Linked DNA regions of Cricetulus griseus. The protein of the gene in region 7 interacts with the protein of the main gene of each other region in a pairwise test. Links are inferred from orthologs where the notes say so. Each region holds a gene or a part of one and is shown on either strand. Other genes may lie near its edges. The genes, in order: Dpp3, Wdr83, Ccnb1ip1, Rela, Mad2l1, Lsm3 and Keap1.

Region 1 (3,302 bases), on a different chromosome or scaffold from region 7:
GGAGACAGAGGCCAGATGGATCTCTGTGAGTTTGAGGACAGCCTGATATACAGAGTGAGTTTCAGGATGGCCAGGACTGTCACACTGTCACACAAAGAAACCCTATCTCAAAAAGCAAAAAAGAAAAAAGAAAAGAAAACCATGATGTCTTTGGTAGTTTCAGGAGTAGGAAGGGGGCATTAATTGGCAAAGCTAATGAGACCTAGGTGGGGGCTGGAATTTAGTTAGTAGTAAAGGGCCAGTATGAAGGTGGTAAAGAGAGAAAGTCATGCTGACAGCCTCTGGAGCTCACTGTACCATCTTTACAACTTTTTAATAAATACAAGATTTTTTGCTGCAAATGGCAAAAACAAGGAGCTGTTCTCAGAGCATTAGGTGTAGGAATCAAGGAATCAAATCTACCAGCTCCTAAGCAAGATTAAACCAGCCCCTTCTAGAGGCTGAGCCAGTAGGTCTTTTTTTTTTTTTTTTTTTTGAGCAGGGTCTTCTTATGTGGCCCTAGCTGGCCTGCAACTCTCTGTAGACCAGTCTGGCCTCAAACTCACAGAGACTGATTTGCTTCTTTCTCCCTAGTGCTAGGCTAAAGGTGTTACCACCATGAGTGACTCAGTTGAGTCTTTGTACAAGGGGAATCTTACAGCAAGCATCAAGTTCAGTTTCCTCAGCAGTGTTTCACAGAAACAGAATATGAAGTCATCTTTGATTCAGCTGTATATTGTGTCAGCCATGTTTTTCCCACTGGTATTAACAAAGGTTAGGTGTGAACCTGTATTTATGACTTCTTGGGAGGTCTGGCAACAGTAGGCTCAATTCCTCTGTGACTAACTGGCCAGAACTGAATAGTAGCCTCATATTCAGTCATGGCACTGACTATTCATTTTCCCCGGGGACTTCCTGCTTCCTGTTATTCCTATCATCCAATTTCTGTATCCACTAATTCTACATCCATAAATTCAACCAACTGCACACATGCAAAAATATTCAAGAGAATTATCTTGTATGTACTGGGCATCCACAATATTTTTTCTTGCCATTCCCTAAACAGTATAGAATAAGAACAATTTACATAGCATTACATGTCTTGGGTATGATAAGTAATCCAAGGAGCTGGGCTGTCGGTCAGTTGGTAGAGTGCTTGGTGTAATGCACATGAAGCCCTGGGTTCCATCCTCAGCACTGTGTAAAAGTGTCGGTTTGTACCTGTGACCCCAGCACTCAGATCAGGAGTGTAGTGGCATCCTTCACTACATGATTAGTTTGAGGCCAACCTGGGTAGACTACATAGGCTCTGTCTCAAAAAAAAAAAAAAAAATGCATACCTGAAGATACCGCTCAGTGGGTAAATATGCTTGCTGCACAAGCTTAAGGACCTGAGTTAAAATTCCCAGCACCCATGTGAGAAGCCAGGCCTGGTTGCATACACCTGTAACCCCAGCACTGTAAGGGGCATAGTCAGGAGGATCGTTGGGCTTGACCAGCCCCAGGTTTAGTGAGAGGCCTCGTAAGGGTTTATGGTGGAGAGCGATCGAGCGGGATGCCCAGTGTCTTTCTCTGGCTTCCTCTGCACACACCAAACACACATGTGCATATACATCAAACACATAGACACAATTAAATCTTTAAAATTTGTAAGAAATCTAAATGTGGTTAAAATATACTATACCAGAAGATGTGTGGAGCACACCCTTTTGGATTAGTGACTTGAACATGCAGATTTTGTTATCCACCGAGGGTGCTAGAACCCACTCCTAGTAGACTGTAGCTGCCTGAGTCACTGCTGATACTACTGGCTCCTTTGGCATCCGTTTTACTAACTCCAGTTTGAGCTACCCAGGTCTGGCTTGTTGGTGTGATGAACATTACATATTACCAAGAAGTGAGAGAGAGATGACCTGAATCCCCCCCAGAGCTTACATGGGGGAAGGAGAGAAAAGACTCCCATGCACACACACCCCAAGGAAACAGAAAAAGAAAAAAACTAGGGGTTGGGGATTTAGCTCAGTGGTAGAGCGCTTGCCTAGCAAGCGCAAGGCCCTGGCTCATAGGAAAGACAGATTGTAGATCTAACTGAAGACAAAAAGAAATAAAACATGGAGTAGAAAACAATGGGGGGCCAGACTAGGAATTGAACCTCAGACTTCAGTCTTACTAGGCAGGCACTATACCACTGAGCTGTATCTGAAGCTTTCTAAGAGAAAGGTTAAAGAGAAGCGGAGCAATGTCTAATATAACAAGCTCAAGAGCGTGGGAGAGAGACATAGAAGAGACAGTGTCACAGGAGAACCTGTGTTGGTGGAAGGGAAAGATATGCTTCCATAGCTGCCTCTATATGGGCTTTAATACTATTTACACAGGCGGAGCTTGGATGCTGTTAAAAGCCTCACCTCTTTTAATTTTCATTTAAATTGGTTTTGGGTGTGTGTATGTATGTGTGTGAGCGTGGTGTATGTGTGTGTCCTGCTCTATCACTCTCTGCCGTGTTCCCTTGAAACAGGGTCCCTCGCTAAACCTGGAGCAAGGCCGGCAGCCAGCAAGACCCAGGGACACTCCTGTCTCCCCTACCTCCCAGCACTAGGATCACAGACCCATGTGTCATTGCTCAGAGTTTTACATGGGTGCTGGGAATTTGAACTCATGCTTCTCTTTCTTACCCACTGAACCATCTCTTCAACCCCCAAACCCAACCTCTTAATATATACACTAGCCCCTTTTGAATGTATTAGCTGTCAGACATTGTGCTACATAACCTTTAATCTCCACAGGGAAAAGGCAGAAGCAGGCAGTTCTCAAGTAAGTTCAAGGCCAGCCTAGTCTATATAGCGAGACTCTGTCTTTAAAAAAAGGAGAAAAAAAATAGCCATCTAGGATTTTTTTTTTGTTTGTTTTTGAGGCAGTCTTATGTAGTTCAGGCTGTACTCCCTATGTTGCCAAGGATGACTATGAACTCTCGATCTTCCTGTCTCTACCTTCCAAGTTATGGAATTATAGGTGTGTGCCATATACCCAACTGGGTCATTAAGTTTTAGCACTGAAATTTTATAGAAGACAGATCGTTTCATAGCACATCCTATCCAGATCTAGGCCCAGCTGGCTGTGGTCCCTGGCAGAGTCCTGTGGATGCAAGGTGAGTGCCCATTCTACATGCTTAACTCCTCCTCCTTGCAGGTGCTGAAGTCCACAGGGGATGTGGTTGCAGGGCGGGCCCTGTATGAGGGGTATGCAGCCGTCACTGATGCACCTCCAGAGTGTTTCCTCACCCTCAGGGACACAGTTCTGCTGCGCAAGGAATCCCGGAAACTTAT
Region 2 (3,500 bases), on a different chromosome or scaffold from region 7:
GCTCTACCTCCAGGTGCTTAAGTATCCTGGGAGTCTCTTATACCTCACTCACTCTTTTTTTTTTTTTAAATAAAGATTTTATTTATTTATTTATTATGTATACAACATTCTGCTTCCATGTATATCTACACACCAGAAGAAGGCACCAGATCTTTTAACAGATGGTTGTGAGCCACCATGTGGTTGCTGGGTACTGAACTCAGGACCTCTGGAAGAGCAGTCAGTGCTCTTAACCTCCGAGCCATCTCTCCAGCCTGCCTCACTCACTCTTACCCTCTTTTAAAAAAACAAAAACACAAAGGGCTCTGTAGTCCCAGGCTGGCCTCATACTTGCAGCAAATGCTGCTGCTTTTTTTTTTTTTTTTTTTTTTTTTTGAGACAGGGTTTCTCTGTAACAGCTTGGGCTGTCCTTGAACTCAGAGATCCATCTACCTCTGCCTTCCAAGTGCTGGGATTAAAGGCGTACCCCACCACCATTCGACTCAGCAAACCTTTCTTTATTTGCAATATAGTGCTGGGATTACAGGCTGTCTTGGAACTCAGTGTCTTTCATAGCCTCACCAGTTGCTGGATTACATGCATGTTCTACAGGGGACCCTCTTGGCACTGCCTTCAGACTCTAGAAGTGCCTGTTCTGCTTCTTGCTCCAGGCCTGTCTTGTTCTGAGTTCACTGTTCTCTGACATTCTGGGCACTAGCAGGCCTACTTGGCAGGCCCAGTGATTGTTATTTGCCTTACACCCCATAGTTACAATACTATAGTTCCTAACCTCATACTTTGTGTACCTTTGTGTGCCCTTCAAGGTTAATTTTAGTCAGGAGTTTTAGAAGTTGACAGACTGTTCTTGTTACCTTAGTTCCCAAAGCAAGAGCTCGTCTCTGGGGTTCCATAGTTTCCCCAGTCTTCTTACTGAGCTTAATTCTGCTGACTGGACCCCAACAGTGATATCTCCTTCTTGGAGGCCCTAGAACCCTGATCTCACTAAGCTAATGGTCCATTTCCCACTTGGGGCATATCAGGTTTAAAGCCGTATGAAGCCCACATGCAGATCAGGTTTTCTTGGGTGATGCAAGCCCAGGCTTGGTGCCCCGCACTGGCTCTTCTCATGCTTTAGTAGCTCAGCCTGGCACTTACAGCTCTGTCTGACCTGGAGCCAGCTACAGCCACCACCTTCTCCAGGTTCCTTAGCATATGCTGTTTCTCTTATTGAATTTGCTACCTTCTTTTACCTCCTTCCTTCAAACTCCAGCCTGGGAGGCTGAGGCAGGATAAATTCAAGCCCAGTGTGGGGCTACAAAGTGAGACCCACCTCTACACTCTATGCCAGAGGTCCCAGCTCAAATACCTAACATTACTGCTCTCTTCAGACCTGAGAGTAGCTGAGGTAAACATATAGCTGATGCCCTGGCAAGGAGTGAAAGGGGAAGGCTTACCTCTACCAGGTCCCAGAAGAACACTTTCCCATCCTCAGAGCAGCTGACCACATGTGTGTCACGCTCACTCAGGCAGCAGTCTAGCTTGTACTTCTGGTTCTTATGGCCAACATACCTAGCAGTAGAGGTGGGTGGAATTGAGGGGCTTGTTCCTTCTAGCCTCAAAAGTAGGGTGAGGGGGAAAGGCCAACCAAGGAGACTTACTCGCCCAGCAGTTCCCCTGTGTCTTTATCTAGAAGCCGCAAAGTAGAGTCCAGGCTGGATATCAGAGTGCACTGACCATCCTGGCTGAAGCAGGTGCAGGTGATGGGGCCTGGGAGAGAGTATGGCAGGCAGGTGAATCTGGATGCTCTTGTCTGCCCCATCATCTGCCTTGATTGTCCTGCTGGGACCCGAGACCACACTCACTGCCCACGTAGTCTGAGAAGACCTGCCCCATCCTTAGGTCATAGCGCCTCACTCGACCATCCACAGAGCTGCAAGAAAAAGTAGAAGCATTACAACTATTTACTCCATGGGCAACCTGTGTCCCCATGCATTTTTGGCTATCTATGAAAGTGTGAGCAAGGGAAAAAAATGCTCTCTTGTTTTGTGACTTAGGTCCAGGGGACAATTTGGTTCCATTCAAAGACTGTGCCCTCTTTTCCAAACCCCCAGAGCTCTCTAGATCTGCATCGGCACAGCAGTCAACCCTGTCTGTCTCTGTCTACATCCACATTTGACCAACTGCAGCTCAGGACTATTCTTATAAGACTATTATGTTTTTTTTTTTTCTTTTTTTTTTTTTAAAGATTTTATTTATTTATTTATTATGTATTCAACATTCTGCTTCCATGTATATCTACACACCAGAAGAGGTCACCAGATCTCATAAGGGATGGTTGTGAGCCACCATGTGGTTGCTGGGAATTGAACTCAGGACCTCTGGAAGATCAGCCAGTGCTCTTAACCGCTGAGCCATCTCTCCAGCCCCCTTTTTGGGTTTTTTGACAACAGAGTTTCTCTGTGGCTTTGGAGGCTGTCCTGGAACTAGTTCTTGTAGACCAGGCTGGTCTCAAACTCACAGAGATCTGCCTGCCTCTGCCTCCCAAGTGCTGGGATTAAAAGCATACACCACCACCTCTCGGCGTATTATCTGTTTTTTTTAAGACAAGGTTTCTTTGTGTAGCCCTGGATGTTCTAGAACTCACTCTGTAGACCAGGCTGGCCTCTTAGCATACACAAAGCCCTGAGTTCCATCCTTAACACACAAACCACGACCATGTATTAGGATGTACAGGCTCAATGAAAGCTATTTTACAGAGGGCTGGAGCAGCCTAAAGTTTGCTGTCCTTGGTAGACTCTAAAACCAGCCTACTGCAGATAACAAAGCAACTGCTCTCAGGGTGTGATTCCTTTCCCACTTCCAGTCTTATTCTTACATGTATGAAGCTTTCTGCCTGGAATCTCCAATCCTTAGTGCCCAGGCCCACCCAGCAGCTTTCATTGCCTTTTTTGAGACAGAATCTCATAGAGCCCTGGCTCATCTCCTTTCACCATGTGACTGAGGCTGTCCTTGAACTCCTGCTGGGTTACAGGTGTCCTATCACATTTAGCTCACCAGGAAACTTTCAAAGCACAGCCACTTCGTTCCAATCTTTCCCTCAAAGAAACATGGCCTTTCACTACTCTCAGAAAATTATATGTTTGCTGGGAGGCAGGCGGATCTCTGAGTTCAAGGCCAGCCTGCCTGGTCTACAAAGCTACACAGAGAAACCCTGTATTTTGCCTGCATGTATGTTTGTGTACCATGTGCATGCCTGGTGCCTGCACAGGTTAGAAAAGGGTATCAGATTCTCTGGAACTGAAATTACAAACAATTGTAAGTCATCATATGGGTGCTGGGAATTGAACTTATGTTTCTTTGGAAGAGAGGCCAATGCTTTTAACTACTCATCTCTCCATCTCCCATAGTTAACAAAACTAACCTCTATGCTCAGCTTTTTGGGATCCTTATTTTGACTTACAGAATGAAATGTTACCTGAGCTGGGCCAGGCTTTGAGGTACAGCACTCAGGAGGCAGAGCT
Region 3 (2,112 bases), on a different chromosome or scaffold from region 7:
AAAGCTACATAGTGAGATCCTGTCTGGAAAAAAGACAAATAAATAAGGAAGGCTCCTGCCTGGCATGGTGGTGTATGCCTTTAATCCTAGGAGGTTTACTCAGGAGGTTGAGGCAGGTGGATTGCTGTAAGTTTGAGACCAATTGGCCTACAAACTAGTGTCAGTATTAGAGTGAGAGCCAGTCTAAAAATAGTTTTCTGCCTGCTTCATATTTATAAATATCAATTTACTGTAGCAAGTCTTTCTCTGTACAATCAGCTCTCAAATAATGACATGGATGCTTATTATTAATTATGAAAGCTTGGCCAATACCTTAGGCTTGTCCCACTAACTCTTATAACTTAAATTAACCCAATTATATTAATCTATGTTTTGGAGTCGGGTGTTGGTGGCCTTTAAAAATCCCAACACTTGGGAGGCAGAGGCAGGCAGATCTCTGAGTTCGAGGCCAGCCTGGTCTACAGAGCGAGTGCCAGGACAGGCTCCAAAGCTACACAGAGAAACCGTGTCTCAAAAAAAATATATATATATATATGTTTTGCCTTGTGGCTTTTTACCTCTCTTCCATCTTGTACTTCCTGTTTCTTCTGGTGTTTCCCCTGTGCCTAGATTCATTTCCTCTTCTTTTCTCTGTGCCCAGAAGTCCTGCCTAACCTCTTCCTGCCTATCTATTGGTCATTCAGCTCTTTATTAAACCAAACAGAAGGAGCCTTGGCAAAGACACATCTTCACAATGTATAAAATAATTATTGCACAATAATTTAGTCATTCCAAAAATATGTTGTACATATTTTTTTGTTCTTGTAGTTGTTCTTATATTCTTTTTGTACATTATAAAAAGATTTCTTTTTTTATGTGTATTTGTTGCCTGTGTGTGTGTGTGTGTGTGTGTGTGTTATGTATGTGTACTACTTGTGTGCTGCCCATGGAGGCCATAAGAGGGTGTTGGATCCCATGGAACTGGATGGTTGTGACCCATGATGTGAATGCTAGGAACCAAGCCTGGGTCTGCTGCAAGAGCAGCAACTGCTCTTAACCACTGAGCTGCTCTCTAGCCCTGTACTTAGCTTTTGACCTCTGTTACTTTTAGGCAGATACAATCCGCTTTTTCCTCTTGAATGAAATCTATTAAAGCCAAGGAGGGGTCTGGTAGAAATAGTTAGATGTTTATCTAGTCTGTTTGATTTTTCACAGAAGGCATAGTATGTTCTGTCCTGGGGGGGAGCTGAGTGACACAGTCTTTGGTCTTGGGTTAGGTCTGTATTTATCTTATCATAGGAGATGAACTTAAGATAATTATTTTATCCACTCATAGTTGAATTTTGTTAAAATATTTATTTAGCAGCTATTAGTTTGTTTCTAAAGAGCTATTAGGAGATATTCTTACATTCTTCCCTGATTTTCTCCCCCAGGGAACAGCTCAAAGTTTCCTTTGGACCATACACCAGTTGGAAGCCGAGGTGGTGGAGATGAAGATGTTCAGTTCAGACCATTTTTTGTGGATTCCCCCACAGCACCTGAACCCATTAACAACTTCTTTAGTTTTGCTTCTCAAAGCCATGAATCAGAGCAGCAAGTCTGCAGCAGGGCCTTTAAAGCAAAAAGAATTTAGCTTGTTTCACATGTCTAGCCCGTGTCTGTTTTCGTACAGTTTTACTCTAGCTGAAGTAATTGGCATTCCTGAGTTCTCTTCACATTTTCACCTTAGAGGAAGCTGGGTTGCAGTAGGGTGTGTGGCTTCCTGTTTGGTTTCTTCATTTTTTTGCTTAGAGCATAGGCATTTGGTGAATCTCAGTCTCACTGCTCACATAGTCACAACATTGTTGCATAATCCCTGTTTCAGGCCAAACTTCGTTCATGCGTCTGTAAGCACCAGTGTTATATTTACATGGTGCTTTCGGTCTAGTATGTATATGCTAAGTGTGTGCATTGATTTTCTCTACTTGCCAGTATATTTATGTAAAAATTATGATCTTGGAAAGTGTTGGCCAAAAAATGATTGTCTTGGAAAATGGTGGCTTGCTGTTTGCATGTGTTGTACACAGTCATGTATTTTTATTTGTATTAGCTTGTTTTGGAAGTGTGTTGTGCCAGTGAATGAAAGTACAATTT
Region 4 (3,500 bases), on a different chromosome or scaffold from region 7:
GCAGCTCACAGGAAGCTCTCAGATGACCTGGGCTGACACTGATGGATTAGTAAGCAGCAGGGCAATTGAAAATAAAAGGCCTTTGGAGCCCCAAGGACCGGAAACCAGGATTAACTGGGAGTGAGGAGGGAAAGACTCATTGCCAAGGGTAGAGATGAACCAAAAGCTGAAAATGTGTTTGATCAGGCAGAGGGAGACAAGGTGTCAGATTGTTTCCTTTGGGCTGTAAGGTCTGTGAGGACAGGAATACGTTGGGCTCTTTGTTGCTCTGCTGCCTTTTCTAGAGCCATGCTCCACACACACAGCAGGAGGTGTTTTTGAATTGGTTGAGGTGAAGAGCAGATGGGATTAGTCTGCAGAAGTGTTGTCAGCAAGCTGTGGAAGGAAGACCTTGACATGGGACTTGCCAGGCATCGCTGTTACATCTCCTGTCGGGTGCCCTGGAGACCTGTGGTGGCTCAGGGTTTCCATCCATGTCACATCCTCAGGTGCACCCAACACTGCTGAGCTCAAGATCTGCCGAGTAAACCGGAACTCCGGGAGCTGCCTTGGTGGGGATGAGATCTTCTTGCTGTGTGACAAAGTGCAGAAAGGTACACACTGGGCTATGTGTGCCACGAGGGGCGGGGTGAGGCTGAGAGGGTGATGAGTGCCAGGGACCTCAGTGGCTTCAGGAGAAACAGGGTGACGTCTCAGGGGAAAAGCATCAGGAGTTGGGGACCAAGGTCCATTGGAATTCAGATACTAACCCTTACTACTCTGTCTCCTGCAGAAGACATCGAGGTGTATTTCACTGGACCAGGCTGGGAAGCACGAGGCTCCTTTTCTCAAGCTGATGTGCACCGGCAAGTGGCTATTGTGTTCCGGACTCCTCCATACGCTGACCCCAGCCTGCAGGCTCCTGTGCGTGTCTCCATGCAGCTTCGGCGGCCTTCTGATCGGGAGCTCAGTGAGCCCATGGAGTTCCAGTACCTGCCAGACACAGGTGTGATGCTAGGGAGAGCAGTACCAAGGCTTCTGTACCCCAGCTGGGAAAAAGACCAGGATGTCTGGGACAAGCACATAGGATTTATACATACTGTAGTTCATTGCACATAGTATTTCTGTCAAAGACCACATATGCCATGGTGGTCATATAACACTGCGCTATCTAGCTGGGCAGTGGTGGCTCACCCTTAATCCCAGCTCTCAGAAGGCAGAGGGAAATGAATCTATGAGTTCGAGCCCAGCCTGGTCTATAGAGCTAGCTCCAGAATAGCCAAGGCTACACAGAGAAACTCTGACCTGGGGGAGGGGGGTGAGGAACTACACTGTCTAATGACATAGGTGTCTTAGTTTGTGTAAGTAATCTTTGAGATGCTCATATAAACAAAGAGAGAGAGAGAGAGAGAGAGAGAGAGAGAGAGAGAGAGAGAGAGAAAGAAAACCAGGGCTGGAGAGGTGTCTCAGAGGTTAAGGGCACTCTTTGCTCTTCCAGAGGTCCTGAGTTCAATTCCCAGCACCCACACACATGGTTGCTCACAATCATCTATAGTTGGATCTGGTGCCCTCTTCTGGCATAGGTCCTATGTGCAGATATAGCACTCATATTCATAAAATAAATCTTTAAATTTCAAGAAAAATAAAAAAAAAGGTAAAACCAGCACCTGGGAGGCAGAGGCTAGCAGATGGATCTCTGTGAGTTCTAGGCCAGCCTGGTCTACAAAGTGAGTGCCAGGATAGGCTCCAAAGCTACACAGAGAAACACTGTCTTGAAAAACAAAACAAACCAAACAAAAAAGATGAAAAAGATGCTCATATAATAAGCTGGGTACTCCAGCAAACGTGTGTAGCTAGCGTGCAGATGGTGTGGAAATAGACGGACCTCTAGAGCTATTTGGCCAGCCAGCCTTGCTCCAGATTCAGTGAGAGGTACTGTCTCAAAAAATGAAGTGGGCTGGACATGGCAGTGCACACCTTTAATCCCAGCACTTGGGAGGCAAAGACAGGCAGATCTCTGTGAGTTCAAGGCCAGCCTGGTCTACCTTACAAGTTCCAGACCAGCCAGGGCTATATAGTGAGATCGTATCTCAAATAATTAAGGTGGATGGGGCTGGAAAGATGGCTCAGTGGTTAAGAGCACTTGCTGTTCTTCCAGAGAACCCAGGCTTCATTCCCAGCACCCTGTCTAGTTCCACGGGATCTGACACTATTCTGAACTCTGCAGGCACTGGGCATGTACAAGGTGCTCACACATATAAGCAGGCATTGAGCCTTGGCTTTGACATACTCATACACACATCTGTACACACATGCATGCACATTCATACACCTACATGAACACACACACACAGACACACACACAGAGGTAATAATAAAATGGATATTCATCCAATGACAAATTTGCCTAGCAACATGTCTTAAGATGTGTCCCCATTGTTTTTTTTTTTTGAGGGGGGTGTTTGAGACAGGGTTTCTCTGTGGCTTTGGAGGCTGTCCTGGAACTAGCACTTGTAGACTAGGCTGGTCTCGAACTCAGAGATCCACCTGCCTCTGCCTCCTGAGTGCTGGGATTAGAGGCGTGCGCCACCGCCACCACCACCACTGCCAGGCTGTGCCCCCATTGTCAAGCAACATATAATTATAGTCATAATCTATTTCTTCCCTAACTCTGACATCCAACTTATTCAGCTCTGTCTACTGTATCTACCCTTCCTATGAGTGGTCCTTTTAACCTCTCATCGCCTTTTTTGTTTTTGTTTTTGTTTTTTTTTTTTTTTTTTTTTTTGGTTTTTTGAGACAGTGTTTCTGCTCTGAAGACCAGGCTGGCCTCACAGAGATCCGCCTGCCTCTGCCTCCTGAGTGCTGGGATTAAAGGCCTGTGCCACCAATGCCTGGCGTATCATCACCTTTTTAGGGGAATGATTTAACAGAATTCACTAGCAGTAGAGGCAGTGGCACACCTAAACCAAGGTCACTTAGCTTTGTGGACTTTGTGCCACCTTGTGTCTCTTATCACTTTTGGGGGACCAAAATAGTTCCATTATAGAATGTTTTGAGGTCCAGCCTCTGGTTTCACGGAAAGCTCCGGCCCACTATTGTATTGCTAATGCTAGCAGGTCTGCTATTGTTTACAATAGCCTTAGTATAGAATGCCTCCTAGTTTGCATCTCTATGGGCCTAAGCATCTGAATAGGCCTGCATCTGGGCCTAGGTGCTAGGTGTAAGGTACAAGTGAGGACAGACAGGAGCCATCCGACCAGAGAGGAGAACAGAAGGACAGCAGTGGTCTCCTCGTGGCCATGGAAGCATGGTTAAGAAACAGCCAAAAAGATGGTAAATAGAGAAGAGACTCCAGTTTTACAACATGGAACTGAGAGCTCTCTAAAGATGACAAGATGCCTGTGTTTGGTCTTTATCGAGGCTGGGTTGCTAGGAGTTTCCAGGTCCACACATCCCCACTCAGGCCGAACCTCATGGCTTAAGGCTGAGACATGCCAGGTCACCACAGTCACTAATCC
Region 5 (4,056 bases), on a different chromosome or scaffold from region 7:
AGTGAACAATTAAACTTGTGTTTCCAAACTATCATACTTGGTAGTAAGTTAGCTGGAGGGGGTAAAAAGAGGGTCTACAGACACTAGGATTCAAAGTTCATAGCATAAACCGGTAGAGAGGGAACAAAGCAATTTCATGCTTAAAACTGTTAAGATTATCTGATTAGCTTTCAATAAGAATCATTTTGATTCGAGGCCAGCCTGGTCTCCAGAACGAGTGCCAGGATAGGCTCCAAAGCTACACAGAGAAACCCTGTCTAGAAAAACCAAAAAGAATCATTTTGAGGTAGCTTTCAGGTTTCAGACTTCATTTCTCGTTGGACTGTTAACCTAGTAACTAATGAACAATTCTCGAGATCATCCTACATTTAGTTTTTATTCTGCAGAGTATAAAGCATACAGAGATGTCACGTTGTTTATGAGTCTGGAGTAGAGGGTTAGCTTAATCACATAAAAGTTGGTAGTGAAGTTGTGAATGGCACAGATAATCTAGCAATTATAAAGAGGATCTCAGATGGAACCCTGAGTTAATACTGAAATTGGGATAGCAACTCAGTATACATCATTTTTCTTTTGTAAGATTAAAGTTGGAGGGAGATGAAACCAACAGGAAGAATGGAAATCATAACAGAGAAACAGAAAATACAAGAAAGAAAAGAAAGAAAGAAAGAAAGAAGTAAAATGCTTCTAAAAAGGCTAGAGGAAATGGGACTGAAAAGAAAGAGAACAATTTGCCTATTCATAAAGAGCAATTCCTGTGTTTTAACTAGGACAGGAGAAGTGAGTGACAACAAAAATGTAGATGAGGTACAATGTCACCAGTGACAACCTGTAACCCCAGTATCAGTTAAGGCTGGATTCTCTATTGAACCAGGATGATGATGATGGTGATGACACCTAGCAATAGCTATCTAGCAGTTCCAGGTCAAGTATGAGTGACATCCAATGACCATACATGATTCCACCCTGACCCACAATCTGGGAAAATAATGAGAGATGGGCTGCTCCTCTCAGCGTATACGTATCTTGCTTGCACTTGAGAATAGAAATCTATCTCCACATATTTATCAAGTACTTCACCTTTCCTATTCTAGCTGTCTAATCTATCAAAGAAGTTCTCAACCAAGAGCAACTTTATCTACAGGGCTTCAAGGTTATCGAATTTCAGGATAGTCAAGAGCTTTTGAGAGACCCTGCCTCAAAAGTAAAACAAAACAAAAAAAATATGGCCTTAAAGAGATGTCTATGTTCAGCTGGTCACCAAAAGAAGGTCATTTTAATGCTAAAGTTAACAACAACAAAAAAAAAATGCAATGAACACTGTAATGAAACTACAATAGAAACAAACTAAAACATCTTTGCAAAAAAAAATTTCTTAGGAGCAGTGGTGCTCTTCCTAAGAATTGACACCTTCTTCGGGTCTTTTAAGGAACCAGGCATGCACCTGGTACATACAGACATAACCCAGGAAAAACACCCAAACACATGAAAAACTAGAGAGAAAAAAGACAGCTGTAATGCTTTTGGAATTGGTTTTTATAAGACTTTGTTGGGAGATACAAGGCTAAACACAGAAAAGATTATTATAATTAGAATGGCAATCCTAAGTGGTGTGCAACACGAGGAACAAGGATTCCAGAAGGAATAGAAATAGGTGGGAATAAGTATTGGCCAAACAGGCAGCACAACACTGAGCTACGAATGAATAAATAAACTGTCCAGATACTGAATTACAGCCACCGCTTTTAAGGAAGATAAAGAGAATAGTTGAAAAGTAAAACCGGAACTTTCCTGTATATTGTTATTTAGTAATACCCTGGTTACAACAACTGCAGCATATCAATGGGTGTCTAAGAAGAGCAAAATCATCTCGTGTAAAACCATCAACTCGTTGTACCTGTTTAAACCGCAAAATGCATTCCTAAAGCAGCTGATAAGACACTTCCGACTCCGAGACGCCTAACATCAATACACTCAGGCTACTTAAAAGCAGTGGGAGAAAGGATGGGATTTCCCTCCATTACTTCCTCCCTCCCAGTCCAGAAGCGCTGTATTTGAGAAGGCATATTGCTTTAAGCCACCCTCGTAAACGTAACCCTGTCAGAGGTAAAACTCAAAACGTGATTACCTTTCAGCTGTTCGACCACATTATTGAGATACTTTATGAGCTCGGGGTCAGTAGTTACAAGCAAGGTGAGTCCGTATTTCTGCACTCGAGTAAAGGTTTCCGACGGGTATATGCCACGCTGATACAAAATGCTGTTGACGCCAAACGCTGAAAACGAAAGGAATCGAGCAGTGAACACCTACTCACGTTTCCAAGTCTTCCAGAAAGCAGAGCTGACACAAAACGACACCGGAAAACCTTCAACCCAGCAATGCCAACTCTCACGACACCGCAGTCTAAGTGCAAATACACATGTGCTGAGCGGATGTCAACACAGACCCCGGCTTTCAAAGCGCGAATGGCACGATGCCCCAGGGAAGGCCCCTCCGTTCTCCGCCACGGCACGAACGAGCAGGAGACCGGGCGGTGGTTCCGCCCTAGCGCGTCCTAGGTCCCGGCCAGGCCGCTCTCCGGCCGCATTCAAAACTCACAAAAAAACTCGGCCACGATCTCCGCGCTCCCGCGCAGGGTGATGCCTTGCTCTCGGGCGAGCTGCTGCGCCATCACTCGATCTAACGGAGACCGCTGTCAGCCTCACCGCACACCGCGCCCTCCCGGCTCAGCTCCTTCAGCTATTCCCCGCCACCCGGTTCAAAAATAACTACGCAGCCCGCGGGGCGCTCCGTGCGCAAGCGCAATGTCCCGCAAGCCCCACCTACACCGCCGGTTTCCGGCCCCGGCCCCGTCCTATAAACGCCTCATTTCTCCCTAAGCCCGCCCCATACTTCCGGTTTCCGCCCTAAGTCCCTCCCCCATAACTGAACCCTCTAAGGACGGTCTGCTCTCAAGATTCCGTCCAGAAGCGCCGCTTCCGCTGTGAACGCAGTCCCTCGAGGACCAGAGAGCGGCCCCTAAGTTCCGCCCAGAGCCACTTGTATCCGGCCCTGGCTCCGCCCTCGCTGCTTGCGCAGGCGCAGAGTGGGCCTGGCTCCGCGCTCTCCGGCTTCCCGCCCGGGAGGGTCGCTGTGGGTGGGGCCTCTGGTCGGGTGTCCAGGAAGAGCCCCAGGGTGACGGGGTGTCCAGGAAGAGCCCCAGGGTGACGGAGGGAAGGCTCGCCGGCTAAGTCCAGGTCCGAATATCCCCGAAGTAGTCTCAGCTTCGTGGATAGTTTGCAGTTTGGGAGAGCCTGTGTTTTGTGTGGGAACGCGAATTTTCTGGAGAAATATCAGAATAGGGACTGGGTACAAGAGAAGGCTCAGCCAGTAAAGCCAGTAAGGTGTGTGCCTTCAACACACACACACACACACACACGAGAATCACACACACACACGAGAATCACACACACACACACACACACACACACACACACGAGAATCACACACACACACGAGAATCACACACGAGAATCACACACACACACACAGTAAACACACACACACGAGAAACACACACACACACACATACACACACGAGAATCACACACACACAGTAAACACACACTCACACACACAGTAAACACACACACACGAGAATCACACACACACACACACACGAGAATCACACACACACACACAGTAAACACACACACACGAGAATCCCTTCAACACACACACATGAGAATCCCGCACACACACACACACACACACACACACACACACACACACGAGAATCCCTTCAAAACACACACACACACACACACACACACACACACACGAGAATCCCTTCAAAACACACACACACAGTAAACACACACACACACGCACGAGAATCCCTTCAACACACACACACACACACACACACACACACACACACACACACACACACACACACACGCATACAAGAATCCCTTTCTTTGTAATTAAAATAGCTTGCTTTCAAGTTCTTTGGTCAAACGCTCTTCCTTTTTGAGTATTTAAAGCCTGTACCAGAGCATGTAAAGTTACACATGG
Region 6 (3,983 bases), on a different chromosome or scaffold from region 7:
TGATAGGTGAATAGGAACATCACTGTGATTCTGTGGTGGAGGATACCTAGGAATGACTACTTTAAGATGACCGTGGAATGTCTTAGACCTCAAGTAGAGAAGAAATTAGACCCAGCAACAGCGACGGAGAACATTCTAAGGCAAAGAAACATGGAAGGCCAAGCCTCCAGATAAATAAACAGTATATTCAAAGAAGAGAAAGGCAGTCACCAAGAGCCATCTGTAATCCCTGTGATCATGAGGATGAGACAGGAAAAACCCAGAGCTCTAGGCCGGGCTGCTGTTTAAAATAAGAATATCTGGAAGAGAGACATGCTAAGTGAGGTAGATGCTATACACGGAGAGCACACATCTAAGAAGGTTTTAAGTAAGAAGACCAAGGCATATGAAGTTTTGTTGTCGTTCTACATCACTTGGCTGCTGGATGGAGATCTGATGTAGAGGGGAACTCACTCAACTAGAAAACGACAGGAACAGGATACCAGCTATGAAATTAAGAGAATTAGGCACATATTTCAGTGACTCCGAAGCTGAACTGGACCTCCTGACGAACTAGCAGTTAAGAAAAGGCGTGTTTTAACAGGTGGGTGAAGGAGTGATTTATTGAGATGGGAATATTTTAAGCTTCTCCTTGGTTCAAGACCAAGGTAAGAAGCGCATCGCAAACCTGGGGCCGGAATTACAGTGGATGCAACTTGGAGAGAGATTCTCACACTACAAGGTCTCCCTCTGTCCTAGTTTTGGTGTCTCTCTGACACCGGGCAACAGGGAAGCTTTTTCCTGATCGGCCCTCAACACTTGCCAAGAGGCTGGACTTGGTCCTAGGGGTTACGGTGGGGTCAGGGCTGATGGTAGAGGCCCTCGGGGCGCCGCGCATCCGGCCGTGGAGACCTTCCGCCCCGCTGCCCGCCCCAGCCTCCGCCACCATCGCCTTGCGCGCCGCAGCCTCTCACCCGCCTCGCTCTCCTCCGGCCGGGCTGCTTTGTTGTTCTCGGCTTCTCGGCCGCGCCCCCGCCGCCTTCCTCCCGCAGGGCGCTTCGGAGCCATGCTGCCCGGCAGCGACACTCCGGGCTACCGCAGCCAGCCGGCCGCAGACACTCTCCGCGTGCTCGCCCCGCCCCGAGGCGGGCCATGCCTGGGCCGCGCCCCCTGACCAGGTTGGGACCACGCCCTCCGGAGAAACCCCTCCCCCTGCAAACTACAGGGGCGCAAAGGGACAAAAATAAAGTAGGTCTACTTCCCGAGAGTGGAACCCTTTGCGTTTCTGAGTGCCTGTTCTCGCGAGAGGTGGAAAGGGCGCAGCGTTTGAAACATGGCGGACGACGTAGATCAGGTAAGTTTGTCCGGAGGCGCTCTTAGAGGAAGCGCTTGCGCTTCCAGGTCGGGTTCGCGTTTTCCACGCTCGCTGAGAAGCGGCCCGTCTCTCTTTGTCCCGAGGAACCACGGCCTTCCGTAGCCGCGCCGGCTCCTGAAACTTCCGCAGGCCTAGAGTTTTCTCAACCCGCCTATCTGCCCATCACGCTCGGCATCGGCTTTTATCTGTAAAATGCAAACGGCTGTCGACACCAGACAGAAAGCGTGAGGTAGTGGTGGACACCAGCTTTGTAATACGTGCAAGCGCCTGGTGCGCAGGCAGCGGCTCACTTGGAGTGCAGTAGGAGGGAGGGAGGGAGGTAGAGAACCTGGTGGAGATGTAGTCTGGAGAAAGCAAGCCAAGATCGGGTGCACACAGGATCACAGGCTGCCCTCTTCACCTGCTCTTCCCCCTATTCCTTAGCTACCTGTGGAGTTCCGAAATGATTGCACTCCCTCACACGCACACGCACCCACACACGGGTATTTAAAATAACAGAGCATGTTATTTTAAATATGTATTTCTTTATCTGAGACATTTCTTCCATAACTAGAACGTAAGTTACTTAATAGGGGCATTGGGGCGGGGGTGGCTGGAGAGGTTGCTTTAGGAGTTAAGAGCACTTGTTGCTTTTGTAGAAGACCATGGTTGGGATCCAGCACCCACATGTTGGCTTAACAGCACCCCAACGCATCTTAACTCCAGTTGCAGGAGGGGATCCTCTGCCCCCTTCTGGCCTCTGCTACCGAGCACTGTGTCAGCGTGTGGTGCACATGCATACAGGCAAACTGCTCACATACACGATAAAAGTAAACCTTTAAAATAAAGGGGGGTTTTCTGTGTTTGCTTTTCTTTCCTAGGTTTAGGACAGTGCTGTTAGCACTCAGCAGGTTATTAGTTGAGGGAACGAACCCAATGTTCAGGGGCAGCTTCTTTGAAAAGGCAGAATGTAAAGCTTACAGGGTGAAAAGGATTGACAGTGGCCATCCTAGACTGAAGAGGGCTGTCGTGGGAACAGATTTCATTGTTTTGCAGCTATGTATTTATATGCCCCTCTCCATACTAGAGTGAGCTCCATTGAGGGGATGCGGCTTCTGTATTGTTGTAATCCAGTGGTTGGTTGTCTGATTTCTTAACAAAAGCCTGCTGAGCTAAGGTGGGAGGAGGAAAGCACCAGTTGAGATCCGGGGTTGGGGGTGTTCTGGGAGGGTTGTTTGTTTCCTGTCATCAGCCTCATATCTACACAGCCTACAATTTTCAGCTTTCACTGACCCCAGGTACTCACTGGAGAAGCTTGCTGAATGGTCTTACTAATTCTTGATGGCTGGAACCACCTCTTTCATATAGCTGAATCCAGGTCATCCCAGTTCTAACCTTTGAAACCTGTTCCAACAGTTCTTGAAGAGTAATTCTGATTTATCATTCCTCTGAAATGACTGACCAAGAATGCATTCTTAAATCTTGAAGCAAGCAAGAGATTATATTAAATATAAGAAATTACAGGTGCTGGGAGTGGGGCTGGTAAGATAACAGGTAAAAATGCTTGCAGTTTGTAAGCGTGACAACCTGAGTTCAATTCCTGGGACACACAGAGGAAGGAGAGAACTTTATAAAGTTGTCTTCTGACAGCTACTTGAACCCCATCACACACACACACACACACACACACACACACACACACACACACACACACTCTTAAAAGTTCCAGACTCGGTTCATACCTGCCCAATCCCAGCATCTGAGAGGCAAAGACTTGCTGCTCATCAAAGGCTGTCATGGGCATGCCTCTTAAAAAAAAAAAAAAAGGTAATTATTTAGAAGTGTTTCCTTTTTACTTCAGATAGACCCTTTAGTCCTTATAAGATCTCTGAGGCAAAGATGTGGTCTCCCCAGTTTGCAAATGAGGAGTCTGAAACAAGAAATGGCATGATTTTTAATCCCAGTTCAGAAGAGCCAGGTCAGAACCCAGAATTGAACAAAGGCTTCCTAATGACTCAGTTCTTTTAACTTCTATACTATACTACTCGGTAGGTAGGTTCATCTTGCCAGCCAATTAGCACCCTAAACTTAACCTGCGCTGTACTGACTTCAAATTCTGTCAGATCTTTTTAGTAGTGTGTGAATAGGTATTGCAGGTATGTTTTTCAAATGATTGAATTATACAAAAGATAAAGCTAAGGTTCCTAAGTGGTACTCTAACACTTTGGATTTTTTGGAAGTTCAGTCATCATTTTGCTACTTAACTCCTCTCCACATAATGTTTTTCTCCTCTTTTACATAGCATCGAGGCACCGTTCTAAGCTTTCATATGTCATTTAAAATAATAGTATTGGGGAGACACTATTTTCTGCATTTGGCAAATTAGACTAAGGTATAAACGGGTTATGTGACTAGCCCTTGGTTTCACTGCTTAACAGTGATTGAAACACCACTCTGCCTCTGGTGGTCCATTACTAAGTGTGTTTCCTTCATCAGCAACAGACTACCAATACCGTAGAGGAGCCCCTGGATCTCATCAGGCTCAGTTTGGATGAGCGAATTTATGTGAAGATGAGAAACGACCGAGAGCTTCGAGGCAGATTACATGTAAGTCTTTTAAATTATCTCAAAACCAGATGTTTCCCTATCA
Region 7 (4,022 bases):
GTTGCAAAACTCAACAAGGGGGCCTTCAAGATGACTCAGCAGGTGAACCAGCTTGTTGCCAAGTATGACAGCCTGAGTTCCATCTCCAGAGTGGAAGCTGGGAATCAGTTTCTTCGAGTCATTCTCTGACCTCTACACAAGCACACACAACACATAAATTAATGTAAAAAAGCCCTGAGTGATGTCACAGCCTTTAACCCCAGCATGCAGGAGGGTCTCTGAGAGTTCAAGGCCAGCCAGTGACAGACAATGAGGCCCTGTCCCAAAAAGAAGTTACAGTGGCGCAGTAGCTAAGAATACTTGGCCCAGCTGGGCTGTGGTAGCGCAAGCCTTTAATCCCAGCACTCGGGAGGCAGAGGCAGGAGGATCTCTGTGGGTTCAAGACCAGCCTGGTCTGCAAAGTGAGTTCTAGGACAGCCAGAGCTACACAGAGAAACCCTGTCTCAAAAAACAAAAACAAACAAAAAACCAAAAATAAGAACAACAAAAAAATTGGGGGGCTGGAGAGATGTCTCACTGGTTAAGAACACTAGCTGGTCTACCAGAGGTCCTGAGTTCAATTCCCAGCAACCACATGGTGGCTCACAACCATCTATAATGAGATCTTGTGCCCTCTTCTGGTGTGCAAGCATGCATGCAGACAAGTGTATACATAATAAATAAATAAAATCTTAAAAAAAAGAAAAACAAAAGAAACAATGACATACTGCTCTTACAGAGGACTCAGGCTTGATTCCCGGATCCCGAATGCTCACACAACCTTGTGTAGACCCAGTTCCAGGGAATCCCATCCTCGGTGGGCACCAAGCATTCACGTGGCGTACATACATATACACATACAGGCAAAACGCTCATACATAAAATTAATAAATTTTTGTTTAAGTTATAAGGATGGAGAGATGGCTCAGCATTTGAGAGTACGTGCAGCTCTTGCAGAGGACCAGAGTTCAATTCCCCCACCCACACGGTGGCCCACAGCCACCTGTGACTTCAGAAGGCAATGCAGGAACACAGTACACAGACACCCAGGCTAAACACCCACCCATACACGCAAACTGAAATGCAAACATTATAAAGTTATCTTAAAAGATATACATATAGATAAAATCAACCAGGTAGATGGGTCCAGCCGGACCGTGTGGGTGTGGGATGTGGGAGGGCCGGAGGGTGCAGGAGGAGCCCCGACAGCCTAACCCGGAGGCAGGCTCCTAGGGCCGCCCAGACCCACGCCCTGCTCCCTCCGCCCGGCACCTGCAGGAAGGGCTGGAACCGCCTCTGCGTGCCCGCCGCTCGTTTCCGCCCTCCCGCTCCTCCCACGCGTGCTGCCCGCTAGCGACCCCGCAGCACCGCGGCCCCGATCCAAGGACCCCCGGGTCCCCTCGGCTCCTCCCGGAAGCGTGGCGCGTGGCGGCCCGGCGGCGCGGATTGGACGCGTGGCACCGACACAGACACCCGGGGGGTGGGACGGAGGTGAGCGAGCACCCGCGGAGATGCGATGGGGAGTCGGCTCCGAGTGCCGCCCGCGGCCGCGCGTGGGGGGCCGTGCACGCGGTGGGGGGAGCGCGTGCCCCCGGTGCGCACCCGGGCCGCCGAGCCCGCCCTCCCGCCGGCGTAGGTGGCGGCCGCGGCCGGCGAGTGAAGGGGAGGGGTCGCCCGCGGCCGGCGCCCCGGGACTCTTATTGTGACAGGGTGGCGCGCTGTGCTTAGTCACCGTGACCCGCGCGGCGGAGGCGGAGGCGGAGCGCGGCCATGGCGGGGTGAGTGCGCCGCTCCGGGCCGGGGCCCGGGATCAGGCCCTGCGGGCCCTCCAGGCGTCTGGGCTGCGCCTCCGAGCGAGCGGTGGGGAGGCCGCCGGAGCAGGCGCCGGGCACCGGGTCGTCGCTGCGCAGCCCCCTGCGCAATGCCAGGCCTGTGCTCCGGCAGTGTGGTCACGCGTGACAGTCGCTCACTTACTGGGGCCCTGGTGCGTTCCACCGCCCCCGGCACCCCCACCGTGGTGCTCTCATAGACATCCTAACACCGGGAGGGGGATGCGATTCCAGCCTGAGCCCCAAAACCCTCGCCCCACATCCCCGATTCAAAATATACCGCGTCCCCTGGCCCCAGCTCTCCAGGGGGCTCCTGGGTCCCTGTATAGCCCATGGTGGGCATTCCTGATGCCCACACTTTCTGCCCCAGAACCTTGGCACCCAGTGTTTCCTCTACACTGTATTTTCAGGCCTCCTCTCTCTTCCTGCTGTGTTCCTGGAGCTCTGAACAGTGCCTACTACATACTTGGCAGGCTCTGTAAATTTTGGTGAGGTGTTGAAGAAAGGAATTTGGCTTGTTGGAGGCAGGGAAGGGAAGGATGGCTGGGACAGTGAGCGAAGAGGTTGGAAAGGGGCTGACTTTGTGGGCCTTTGCAGGCCATTGAGGTAGGTTTCCATTCTTGGGCTTGTTGAAAGGTGTTGGGCGATTCTGAGCAGAAAGGGACATGATGTGATATGTTTCTTAGACGAGCCTTCAGGCGAGTGAGTTGGGACTAATTAGTTTGAATGGAGTCAGGATTATGCAGTTTACTTGGCTTGGCAAACTGTTCTAGAAACTTTTGCTTAATTTTTCTAAAGGAAGCCTGACTGGGCATGGCGGCACACACTGTAATCCCAGCACAGAGGAGGATCAGTAGTTCAAGAGCCCGCCTTAGTTAAATGGTGAATTTGAGGCTAACTTGGGCTCCCAAAGACCCTATCTCCAAAAAAAAAAAACAAAAAGGAAAGACAGAAAAGGAAGCGTTGCAAGGTCTGTCCTCACCTATTCCCAGCTCTGTACTCTTCCCTCCCTCCAGGACCCTAACTGCTAGTGGTGGAATTGTAACTTGTCACCCGGAACCCCATGCAGCCAGAACCCAGGCCTAGCGGGGCTCCCCGCAGCAGCCAGTTCCTGCCCCTGTCGTCAAAGTGCCCCGAGGGGGCCGGGGACGCGGTGATGTACGCCTCCACGGAGTGCAAGGCCGAGGTGACGCCCTCCCAGGACGGCAACCGCACCTTCAGCTACACGCTAGAGGACCACACCAAGCAGGCTTTTGGCATCATGAATGAGCTTCGGCTGAGCCAGCAGCTCTGTGATGTGACCCTGCAGGTCAAATACGAGGACATCCCAGCTGCCCAATTCATGGCTCACAAGGTGGTGCTGGCCTCTTCCAGCCCTGTCTTTAAGGCCATGTTCACCAATGGGCTTCGGGAGCAGGGAATGGAGGTGGTGTCCATTGAAGGTATCCACCCTAAGGTCATGGAGAGGCTTATTGAGTTCGCCTACACGGCCTCCATCTCCGTGGGCGAGAAGTGTGTGCTGCACGTGATGAATGGTGCAGTCATGTATCAGATTGACAGTGTGGTCCGAGCCTGCAGCGACTTCCTCGTGCAGCAGCTGGACCCTAGCAATGCCATTGGCATTGCCAACTTCGCTGAGCAGATTGGCTGCACTGAGCTTCACCAGCGTGCCCGGGAGTATATCTACATGCACTTTGGGGAGGTGAGTCAGGGCTGGGGCCTGGGCTCAGCTGTCACCAGGAGTGAGACAGGCCAACATAGCCATCTCCCCTGGAGACTGGAACAGTCATTCAAGTTTGGAGGAAAGCTTCTGTTTGGTATTTTCTTTTTATTTCCTCCTTTTCCCCCATAGAGTCTCATGTAGCCCAGGCTGGCCCTAATCTGGTTATGTAGCCAAGGATGACTTTAAACTCCTGATTCATCTGCCTCTGTCTCTCTCTCTCTTTTTTTAAGATTTATTTATTATGTATACAGCATTCTGCTTCCATTCTGCCTCCATATATGCCTGCACGCCAGAAGAACGCATCAGATCTCATTAGAGATGGTTGTGAGCCACCATGTGGGTGCTGGGAATTGAACTCAGAACCTCTGGAAGAACAGCCAGTGCTCTTAACCTCTGAGCCATCTCTCCAGCCCCTCTGTCTCTTAAGTACTGGAATTACAGACATTCATAATCACAATTGACTTAAGTGGTACTGGGATGGAGCCCAGGGC

What was found.
Region 1: the proteins of Keap1 (region 7) and Dpp3 interact in binary tests that used the Homo sapiens proteins (3 or more experiments, as listed by UniProt). The two-hybrid records come from large-scale screens. The link is inferred for Cricetulus griseus from reciprocal best matches to the Homo sapiens genes KEAP1 and DPP3.
Region 2: the proteins of Keap1 (region 7) and Wdr83 interact in binary tests that used the Homo sapiens proteins (3 or more experiments, as listed by UniProt). The two-hybrid records come from large-scale screens. The link is inferred for Cricetulus griseus from reciprocal best matches to the Homo sapiens genes KEAP1 and WDR83.
Region 3: the proteins of Keap1 (region 7) and Ccnb1ip1 interact in binary tests that used the Homo sapiens proteins (3 or more experiments, as listed by UniProt). The two-hybrid records come from large-scale screens. The link is inferred for Cricetulus griseus from reciprocal best matches to the Homo sapiens genes KEAP1 and CCNB1IP1.
Region 4: the proteins of Keap1 (region 7) and Rela interact in binary tests that used the Homo sapiens proteins (3 or more experiments, as listed by UniProt). The link is inferred for Cricetulus griseus from reciprocal best matches to the Homo sapiens genes KEAP1 and RELA.
Region 5: the proteins of Keap1 (region 7) and Mad2l1 interact in binary tests that used the Homo sapiens proteins (3 or more experiments, as listed by UniProt). The two-hybrid records come from large-scale screens. The link is inferred for Cricetulus griseus from reciprocal best matches to the Homo sapiens genes KEAP1 and MAD2L1.
Region 6: the proteins of Keap1 (region 7) and Lsm3 interact in binary tests that used the Homo sapiens proteins (3 or more experiments, as listed by UniProt). The two-hybrid records come from large-scale screens. The link is inferred for Cricetulus griseus from reciprocal best matches to the Homo sapiens genes KEAP1 and LSM3.

Annotation. Positions count from the first base shown.
Region 1 is NC_048596.1:54,373,667-54,376,968, forward strand, and holds part of Dpp3 (dipeptidyl peptidase 3), read left to right. Parts: intron 1-3,165; coding exon 3,166-3,302. UniProt on the Homo sapiens protein: Cleaves and degrades bioactive peptides, including angiotensin, Leu-enkephalin and Met-enkephalin. Also cleaves Arg-Arg-beta-naphthylamide (in vitro).
Region 2 is NC_048596.1:159,287,796-159,291,295, reverse strand, and holds part of Wdr83 (WD repeat domain-containing protein 83), read right to left. Parts: intron 1,910-3,500; coding exon 1,842-1,909; intron 1,747-1,841; coding exon 1,638-1,746; intron 1,549-1,637; coding exon 1,434-1,548; intron 1-1,433. UniProt on the Homo sapiens protein: Molecular scaffold protein for various multimeric protein complexes. Acts as a module in the assembly of a multicomponent scaffold for the ERK pathway, linking ERK responses to specific agonists.
Region 3 is NW_023276807.1:206,446,618-206,448,729, reverse strand, and holds the end of Ccnb1ip1 (E3 ubiquitin-protein ligase CCNB1IP1), read left to right. Parts: intron 1-1,412; coding exon 1,413-1,612; downstream 1,613-2,112. UniProt on the Homo sapiens protein: Ubiquitin E3 ligase that acts as a limiting factor for crossing-over during meiosis: required during zygonema to limit the colocalization of RNF212 with MutS-gamma-associated recombination sites and thereby establish early differentiation of crossover and non-crossover sites.
Region 4 is NC_048596.1:53,704,338-53,707,837, reverse strand, and holds part of Rela (transcription factor p65), read left to right. Parts: intron 1-488; coding exon 489-593; intron 594-772; coding exon 773-985; intron 986-3,500. UniProt on the Homo sapiens protein: NF-kappa-B is a pleiotropic transcription factor present in almost all cell types and is the endpoint of a series of signal transduction events that are initiated by a vast array of stimuli related to many biological processes such as inflammation, immunity, differentiation, cell growth, tumorigenesis and apoptosis.
Region 5 is NC_048601.1:76,486,659-76,490,714, forward strand, and holds the start of Mad2l1 (mitotic spindle assembly checkpoint protein MAD2A), read right to left. Parts: upstream 2,801-4,056; 5' UTR 2,672-2,800; coding exon 2,599-2,671; intron 2,276-2,598; coding exon 2,129-2,275; intron 1-2,128. UniProt on the Homo sapiens protein: Component of the spindle-assembly checkpoint that prevents the onset of anaphase until all chromosomes are properly aligned at the metaphase plate.
Region 6 is NC_048601.1:52,288,973-52,292,955, reverse strand, and holds the start of Lsm3 (U6 snRNA-associated Sm-like protein LSm3), read left to right. Parts: upstream 1-1,183; 5' UTR 1,184-1,312; coding exon 1,313-1,333; intron 1,334-3,829; coding exon 3,830-3,940; intron 3,941-3,983. Other genes in the region: Xpc (DNA repair protein complementing XP-C cells), read right to left, coding at 954-1,047. UniProt on the Homo sapiens protein: Plays a role in pre-mRNA splicing as component of the U4/U6-U5 tri-snRNP complex that is involved in spliceosome assembly, and as component of the precatalytic spliceosome (spliceosome B complex).
Region 7 is NC_048597.1:134,095,702-134,099,723, reverse strand, and holds the start of Keap1 (kelch-like ECH-associated protein 1), read left to right. Parts: upstream 1-1,222; 5' UTR 1,223-1,470; intron 1,471-1,607; exon of another isoform or gene 1,608-1,757; intron 1,758-1,795; exon of another isoform or gene 1,796-1,963; intron 1,964-1,979; exon of another isoform or gene 1,980-2,218; 5' UTR 2,219-2,414; intron 2,415-2,824; 5' UTR 2,825-2,871; coding exon 2,872-3,510; intron 3,511-4,022. UniProt on the Homo sapiens protein: Substrate-specific adapter of a BCR (BTB-CUL3-RBX1) E3 ubiquitin ligase complex that regulates the response to oxidative stress by targeting NFE2L2/NRF2 for ubiquitination.